Linked DNA regions of Nothobranchius furzeri. The protein of the gene in region 2 purifies or fractionates together with the protein of the main gene of each other region. This does not show direct contact. Links are inferred from orthologs where the notes say so. Each region holds a gene or a part of one and is shown on either strand. Other genes may lie near its edges.

Region 1 (3,815 bases), on a different chromosome or scaffold from region 2:
AAAGTCGCTAAGTTGGCAACGGAGCGCTTCATTTGTAACTCAGGGCAGCTCAAGTGGGAGGAGCAAATAATCGGCTTGTTTTATTTTTATAATCGTTCAAAACATTTCATTCGGAATATATTTCTATGTCGATGTTCAGAATACGACACCTGATAGTCTGAAAAAAATAATACCTAACTTGGAAAAAAATAATACCTCTGAGACCAAATTTAACACTTTTAATGGCCTTAAATTTGACTATTTTTATTTATCACTTTTTAATACTTTTTAAAACCCCGCGGACACCCTGTCATTAGACAGAACTAAGTGGAGTCACAAGTCACTGACATTCAATTCTAGTCAGGTTGCAAGTCTTCCTATAATTAACCACGTCAAGTCACACCTGAGTAATGGGAGCAGTAAACCCTCTGGTTTACCACTCATGCCCATGTGACTGGGAAAGTCAGCTTTAAATAAACCACCAGATAAGAGTTAAAAAAGGCAGTTATGGAGGAACTGACTAGGAGCCCGATACCAGATCACTTGACAGCTCAAGCAGCCGTACCTTAGGCCGTTTACGATGTCCTTGGTCTTCCCAAAGTAGATTTCATTCAGCGTGGAGCGAATCTTGTTCTCCATATCCTGACACAGGACATTAACAACTGTTAGAGTGACCTAAAAATGACTGATGACCACATCACCCCGCAAATAACCTGTAAAATATTATTTCACACTAAATATCTCCAAGTGATACTGACTTCAACGAGTCGGCCGATGTTGGCGATGTGGGGTGAAGATTCTCCAACCGTCTCATCTTTCTCCATCTAGACAAGTAAAAAATAAAATGACCTGAAGTACCACTGCAGCATCACAGAACAAGCTGTTCAGAGCAGAGACACACCTGTCTTGTGAGGCTGCCACCCAGGTTCATGGTGCCAGAACCGGTCTTGGTCGTCTGGAGCCACAGCATGACAGTGGAGGTGAGTTTATAGTGAGCAGTGCGACCACTGGACTTCTCCTACAAACAAAAAATATTTGAATATTATATGAAAAACTAACTAAGACTCAACAGAACAGCATGTAAACAAAACGGACCAGAACCAGCTCATCTGTCAGAACTGTTGGATGACTATTTGGGTGACTGAACCAGCATCTTTGGTCCAGAAGAGCATTCAAGGCCAGTTAGATGTTCCCTAGGGCATTTCCAACACAAGCTACAATAGTTTTATAAAGAGGACAGATGTGCTACTGAATGTTTGGTAAAGTTAGTCATGGAGTTCCTCAGGATTCAGTGATGGAACCAAGACTCTTGGACCTCACAGGATAAATGCTGATGATGGTTATCTTCATCTCTGAAGCCTCGTGATCAGACTACAAACATGTTTAAAGACATAAGAGACATAAAAACCTTTATTTTGTTTTTAAATGCAGACGAGCTTATTTATGGACCCGAGCCCTTTGGGAACAAAATGAGTTATTAGGTTCCTCTGGATGACATTAACCTGTCTTCTACCATCACAAGGAACCTTGGTGTTGTGGATCAGGACCGTCTTTTAGCTCTAATACAGAAACATGTTGCTAGGACTGCCTTCTTCCGTGTTGTTGCTACATTTTTGGAATATCCTGACCCAGAGTGACAGCCTGGCCTGCCAGACTCCTGCTCTGTTTAAATCTGCACAGAGAAAAGGTCTGGGAACTCTCCTATTCAAATAACCCCACCCTCTGAGAATTCTAACCGAGCCAATCAGCGCCGAGTAGCGTACGTCACACACCACAATGCCGAGTTTGTCATAAACATGGCGTCTGAAGAGGAGTTCGCTGCGGCTCTTTCCTCTGTTCTAAATGACTTGAACGTGTCTTTAAAACCACAAGTAGAAGCACTAAAAGCCTTTCTTCTAAAACAACTAAAATTCTCTCTCTCTCTCTCAAAATATATATATATATATCTCATCTAGATATATATATTGATATCTATATATATCTATAGATATCTATATATATCTCTATATCTATATATCTATATCTATATATCTATACACACACACATATATATATATGTTTGCGTCGTTGCAAGATGCTATTTTTGACCACAGCTAAAAACTACAGCATCGCGCGGTACAGTCGGCATTTTCATCTTTTTTCTGATTGGTTATTTTTGAGCTGCCTAGTCCCACCCCTCAAGTGCCTCTCTGCCTGTGTGTTACCAGACTCTCTGTGCAGAATTCAGCAGAGGACGAGTCTGACAGGCCAGGCTACCAAACTGATGCAGAAACAACTCATTTGCATTTATTGCATCTCCATGTTTACTGCAATTAGCACGATGTTTAAAAGGTTTTTAAAGAGGCCTTCAGCTGATCCAGAATGTTGACGCTGGTTCTTTTGGGTTGCATGAGAATTTCTCCAGTTTTAGCATCGCTTCAGTAACTCTGAATTTGAAAAAGCTCTGAAAAATCAGGCTGCTTCTTATTTTAGAGTGCTTCTTTTTCCAGGTGTCCTCAACCAAACACTCCTTTCTCCTTTCTTTTGGTGGTCACTTTGCTTTTGAAAAACTGCTAAAACATAAAACATTCTCCCATCACAGGAAATTATTAAAGCTCAGATTAAAAACCATAAAGTCAGAAACAAAACCAGTTTCTGCTCACCTGCACTTCCACCACATGGATAGAGTCCCAACACCCTTTTATCTTCTTGGATCCATCCCCCGCCTTTTTAATGAGAATTACTCCAGCAAAACCGTGATCCAAGTCCCACAGGTACACAGAGGACACGCCCCCTTCAAAGTACCTGAAGAGCAAATGTATGAAGTGTGAATGCCCGTTGCAGAAATCCTGAGACGGACAGCCCTGCTAGTACTTACAAGTCTCTGTATTGGTCGAAGGCGTTATTAGCTTCGACTTCGAGTTTTCTCAAGCGAGCCGAAGGCATGGCTCCATCTTCAATAGGGGGTTCATACTTATTACTCCACGGGGATCTAAAGGAGAACACGTAACAGAATGGAATGTCAAGGCGGTTCTAGAATAAGGGAGAAAAAACACCAGGAAAGGTCTAAAGACTGGCTGAAGCACAACCAATCAGGATCACAAAATATAATCATTAAATCAGTCCATAAAAGTGGAGAAGGATGATGTCACTAAACAACTGTGCACGAATAAATGCTCACCATTAAAACTCATCTTTACAAGATGAGAAAAAGACTTGATGAGTTTTGGAGCCAAAAGAGAAAGTAGTTTTATGTTGTTGGCAAAATGTTTCCCATTAGTTTTACAACTTACAAATCAGACCATTCATAATACAAAAGAGAGAATAGCTAAATAAAAACCAGACATCCTGAGGGTAGATCAAATTAATGTCTGGCTTAAAGTCTTAAATTACACTAATCATCTTTAGTTCTTGTTGAGCCAATGTTCAGCTTGTAAAAAGACAATTACGATGATATCTTTTAAAGAATTGATCATTTTGCTCAACTATAAAGGATATGTTCAGCATCTAATGACTCCATATGATGTACAAAAACCACAAATGACTACTTTCATGGTAAAAAAAATCAGAATATCATACCATCTCTAAATAGTCCAACACTTTTGAAAGCTTTAATCATTTTCCAGGTAACATAACACAAGGGTTAAACATGTAAAGTGTGTGTGTGTGTGTGTGTGTTCTTTGCAAACTGCAGACATAATTGTCCTCCTAAACTCCACCTGTAGGAGTCGCCGTCTCGGTTATAATCACAGAGCAGGTAGTCTTTCCCCACTACCTTGTCCCGAGCAATTTTCAGGGGCTGGTCAACCGAGGAGAGCAGGTCCTCACACAGACTGGGTACCTGGAGGCAAACGCAC
Region 2 (4,308 bases):
CGAGCCGTCGTGGAAGGTGAGGTTGCCCACGTGGATGGAGCGTCGCACGGCAGGCAGGGTCACAAACTCGGAGAAGTACTCCTGGTCCTCAGGCTCCTGGAACATTTAGATAGGAAACACTGGCTGCGGTGTAAAAACACTGAAGTGTTGCACACCACAGGAGAAAACCAGTACCTGGCATGTCATGTAGTTATAGTAGTTCGTGCAGCCAGTTGCATTTTGAAAGAAGGACGGATACGGGTCCATGTCGCCGTTCAGCAAAGAGTCAAACACCTGAGGGCAGACTCGTTTACAGCTGAAGTCAGACCACAGCACAACCCTGACTCATTCTCCCACGGCTCACCTTAAAGGCCTCCACCCACTTCTGCTGCTGGATGAGCTCCACACCCAGGTCCGTCTGCTTGTTCACGTACTGCTTTTGGAGCTCATCGATCATTCCCGTTTGGTACAGGAACTCGCCGTAACCACCCAGCATCTGATGTGGGAGAAGAGGCAAGTCCCCGGTGAACGCTCAGGCAGAAGACTTAGACGTAGGTTTGTTTAGAGACACAATCAAGAAATCAGCCGTAAAGCATAAAGAGTGTGAGGATAGAAACACAGCATTTATTTAACCAACAGCATCATATGAGTAAGGTGCAGGAAACACACCAGTTCTGGATCACAGAGTCCATCTCCAATAGCCATGCCCTTAAAGTTGATCTTCACTTTAGCAGTGGGGTTGTTTTTGTGGATGTAGTAGGAAACAGCAGGAACGTACTTTCCTGCATAAGACTACACACAGAAACGTCAGCTAGGACCCAAAACTCGAGAGCTCTGTTCATCCACACGGACCAAAAGGTCAAAGGTACCTCTCCGGTGGCGTAGAACTCGTTGGACTGATACTCAGGAAAGAGCTGGAAGAACTGTGTCAGAGCACTTTTACAGGACAGAGACAAAACCAGAGGAGAAGTCGGGGTAAGAAAACACCTCGCCAAAGGGGCGGTGCTTCAACCGAGACAGGAAGCAAACCTGTACAGATCTCTGCCCACATCATCTTGGTTCTGAGCAAACCCGCCATCGTGTTCGGTGAAGCTGAATCCTGTTCCAACCTAAAACACAGAGGCAACCTCAGCCCCGTCTGGTGGCGTTAGCCTGTTTGTTGTTGTTTATAAAAGGAGTAAACATACCGGGTTATCTATGTACAAAACCGAGTATCTGCTTGTCCAGGAGAAGTCCCTCAGACCAACTGCAGGGAAAGAAAAACAAGAGTTTATCCAAAATATCCCAACAAAACAAAACTCTGCGTCACAGATGACGTCATTTACCTGTCAGATTCTTGTAAACCACATAAGGGCCGTGCTCCACAAACAGCCCGAACATGGAGGTCCCTCCCGGCCCGCCCTGGAGCCACAGCAGCACCGGAGCCCCCTCCTGGCCCGCCTGCAGGTCAGGGAGGAAGTTAACGCACCAGCGCCACCTGGTGGTAGGCTTAGTTCTGCAACAGCCGGATTTGACTGCACTTCCTTTTGTTTTTACACAGAATGAAACCATAAAATCAGCAGGACACACGCGGTCCTGTCGTCTACAAACACGGTTTGTTTGTTTGTTTGCAGCAAACGTTTGAACTTACTGGTGACCATTTATTTAAAAACAATCATGTTTATAGCAAACAAGACACAACGACATCTAAACATGGTGATAACGTTCCAGCAGGGTTCTCAGATTGTATGACAGAGTGAACATTATGCTTAAAGGAGAACTAAGGAAGTCATTTTATAAACATGTGCTGTTGGACACTCGTGCACCCTGAACCCCTCCCTCCTGAGCTGCTGCTGCTGCACCACACACATCCAAACTCAGACTAGCCTTAGCTCAGCTCAGTAAACAATAAAAACCCAAGTGGAAGCTCCAGGTTGTTTCTGGAGACCTGCTGTTATCTGCAGTGCTATCTGTGCACCAGTTTGTTGCTTTCTGGATGTCAGGTGAGATGGCACACGTGACTTTCCTACGCTGCTGACCAGACAGATGAAAGCTCGAGTTACTGATTTATCGATCACGCATCAGGAAGAACAAAGATCACCGGAGACATTCCCGCTCCGTCCTGCTGGAGGACTTTGGTTGTTTTCAAACACGCATTCATCAGATACATCTGATTAAAAGTTGTCACTAAACACATGCAACTGCTGAGCTGAAGAGACCTGCGGAAGCTCCGATCAGAAGGAGAAGCTGGACCTACCATGATGGCAGGGAAGAACCAGAAGAAGAGGTTGCTGTTGTACTTCTTGTTGACTGTGAGGTATCCTGCATAGCTCTTGACGTTTGGCCCGGGTAGGCTTCCTACCTGACTCAGCTTCCTGGCTGAGGAGAGAGACACAAACACGGGTGAGGAGACGTGCTGCTAGCTACACGCACAGGTGTGCTTTACCTTCGTCTATGTCGCCCTTTTCCAGATACGGGGTGAGGAAAAGAGGGGAGCCGGGGTCCGCTCCATTCTGGCCGCTCACACGGTGAGACTTTCGGCAGAAAAACGACGAGCAGGGGTGGGAGGTCACCGTCACACAGACCCACAGCAACAAGAAACCTGGAGTTTGCTTCAACAGCCTGCAAACACTTCATATCAGACTACAGGCCTCGTGTTTCACAACAATAGTCCCACCACGCACCACCTGCGGGCTCAAACGGCGGGAAGGGCCTGAATTAGTCCAAACTCACCTCATTATCCGGCCGTTTCTTCGGTAACGGGACCAATTTCACCCCCAGTCTGGGAAAAATCCAACTGGACTGTTCAAAAACTCTGAGTGAGGCAGTCACGTGACCAGACCTAGGGCGGTCACGTGAGATTCAGTCACGTGGTTTATTCTGTCAAGGAGCGTAATTTAATCCCGGAGCGCTGTCTGGCAGGATTTTCAGCCGTTCCTCAAACAAAGCGGGTTGTTCAGCTGTTGGACCATCTCTAAAGGTTGGTTCAGACGTGCCTGGCTGAGGAAACCCGTACAGTTACAGCAACTTGTCCTTTATAAAAGAAAATGTCATTTAGTCCACTTGTTCAGTCTTATACCCCATCCCCTCACACACACACACGCACACGCACACGCACACGCACACGCACACACACACACACACACACACACACACACTTGTTGGCTGGGTGATGGTGGTTTTGCAGCGCGGTTAAGCCTGGTTTATGCTTCTCCGTCAGCTCCGCAAGGGACAGACACGCACGGATTGACGGAAGCGTTTTGCTCTTGTACTTCTCCGTCTCCTGGAGAGTGTTGCAAAGCAATTGCCTGACAGGACAACAGAGGGCGTAGCGCTGTTCTGTGGTATCCTGTCATGCATCGGTCCAAGATCGTGTGTTTATATTGTGGTTTTTGTGTATATAAGTGACTTTTAACAGGTACATATTTGTCTCTCATTCTCCCACCCCTTCATGCGCTCCCCACCTCTAAACCCACGTTTCCTGTCTTTTCCGTCCACAAATAAAATGCTTGCTGCGCATCTTTTCACTCCTCCAGTCACGGGAGAATTAAACGTTCATATTTTTAGAGTTTTTTCGCGAGGTATTCTTCAAGCTTCTCCGTGTCTGCCGCTAGTTATCCTCGGCTCTCTTTGCAATGGCGGCGCTGTAAACAACAGCGGCATCCTGACCAATCACAAGCTTGCGTAATCCGTCTCGTTCGACGGATGTTTAAAAAAGTGGGCTCGACTCCGTACGTACTTGCGTGCCCTACGCAAGTACGGATAATGGCGTTGCGTGTCTCCGCACTGACGCAGACGGAGAAGCATAAATCAGGCTTGAGTCTGACCAGCCAGCCCCGTGCTTAAGGGGAAGAGCAGGTTGGTTCAGCATTAGTTTTGTGTGTACAGTTAAACAGAGGAGGAACCTGGCAGGCCATTAGTGTCTGCTCGCTTCTCTTTTCTGATATCATCGCGCGTCCTTTCTGTGGGTCTGTTTTGTGTCTTTATTGGGATGTTTATCAGCTCGGGCCACAACTCCGGGGCTCTTTGTTGTGGTGTCCGAACCACAAATATCCACCAGGGGGCGCAAAACACACAGAAACCCATTCAGTTCAAGAGCTTCTAACGTGACACAGGACCTGAAGAAAAGGTGCAGATCCGGAGGTGGTCTGCCACCGACATTTACCGTGACCCACCACCAAACGGCAGCTTCTGAACGGGCTGCCTGAGATCCCGGTGTTTGTTCCGCCTTTCATGTGCTCCAAACTTTCACTTTAAGAAGGCGAGCCTGGGCTGCAGTGTGTTTATGCTGGTCACACACACACACACACACACACACACACACACACACACACACACACACACACACAC

The links.
Region 1: the proteins of cpvl (region 2) and capzb purify together in Homo sapiens (affinity purification with mass spectrometry; 3 studies listed by BioGRID and IntAct, with this or other methods). This does not show direct contact. The link is inferred for Nothobranchius furzeri from reciprocal best matches to the Homo sapiens genes CPVL and CAPZB.

Annotation. Positions count from the first base shown.
Region 1 is NC_091743.1:46,428,342-46,432,156, reverse strand, and holds part of capzb (F-actin-capping protein subunit beta), read right to left. Parts: intron 3,800-3,815; coding exon 3,678-3,799; intron 2,951-3,677; coding exon 2,837-2,950; intron 2,764-2,836; coding exon 2,622-2,763; intron 998-2,621; coding exon 881-997; intron 804-880; coding exon 738-803; intron 622-737; coding exon 545-621; intron 1-544. UniProt on the Homo sapiens protein: F-actin-capping proteins bind in a Ca(2+)-independent manner to the fast growing ends of actin filaments (barbed end) thereby blocking the exchange of subunits at these ends.
Region 2 is NC_091745.1:35,786,085-35,790,392, forward strand, and holds the start of cpvl (probable serine carboxypeptidase CPVL), read right to left. Parts: upstream 2,822-4,308; 5' UTR 2,697-2,821; coding exon 2,692-2,696; intron 2,581-2,691; coding exon 2,405-2,580; intron 2,338-2,404; coding exon 2,216-2,337; intron 1,420-2,215; coding exon 1,305-1,419; intron 1,226-1,304; coding exon 1,167-1,225; intron 1,089-1,166; coding exon 1,009-1,088; intron 916-1,008; coding exon 849-915; intron 772-848; coding exon 649-771; intron 476-648; coding exon 344-475; intron 274-343; coding exon 175-273; intron 97-174; coding exon 1-96. UniProt on the Homo sapiens protein: May be involved in the digestion of phagocytosed particles in the lysosome, participation in an inflammatory protease cascade, and trimming of peptides for antigen presentation.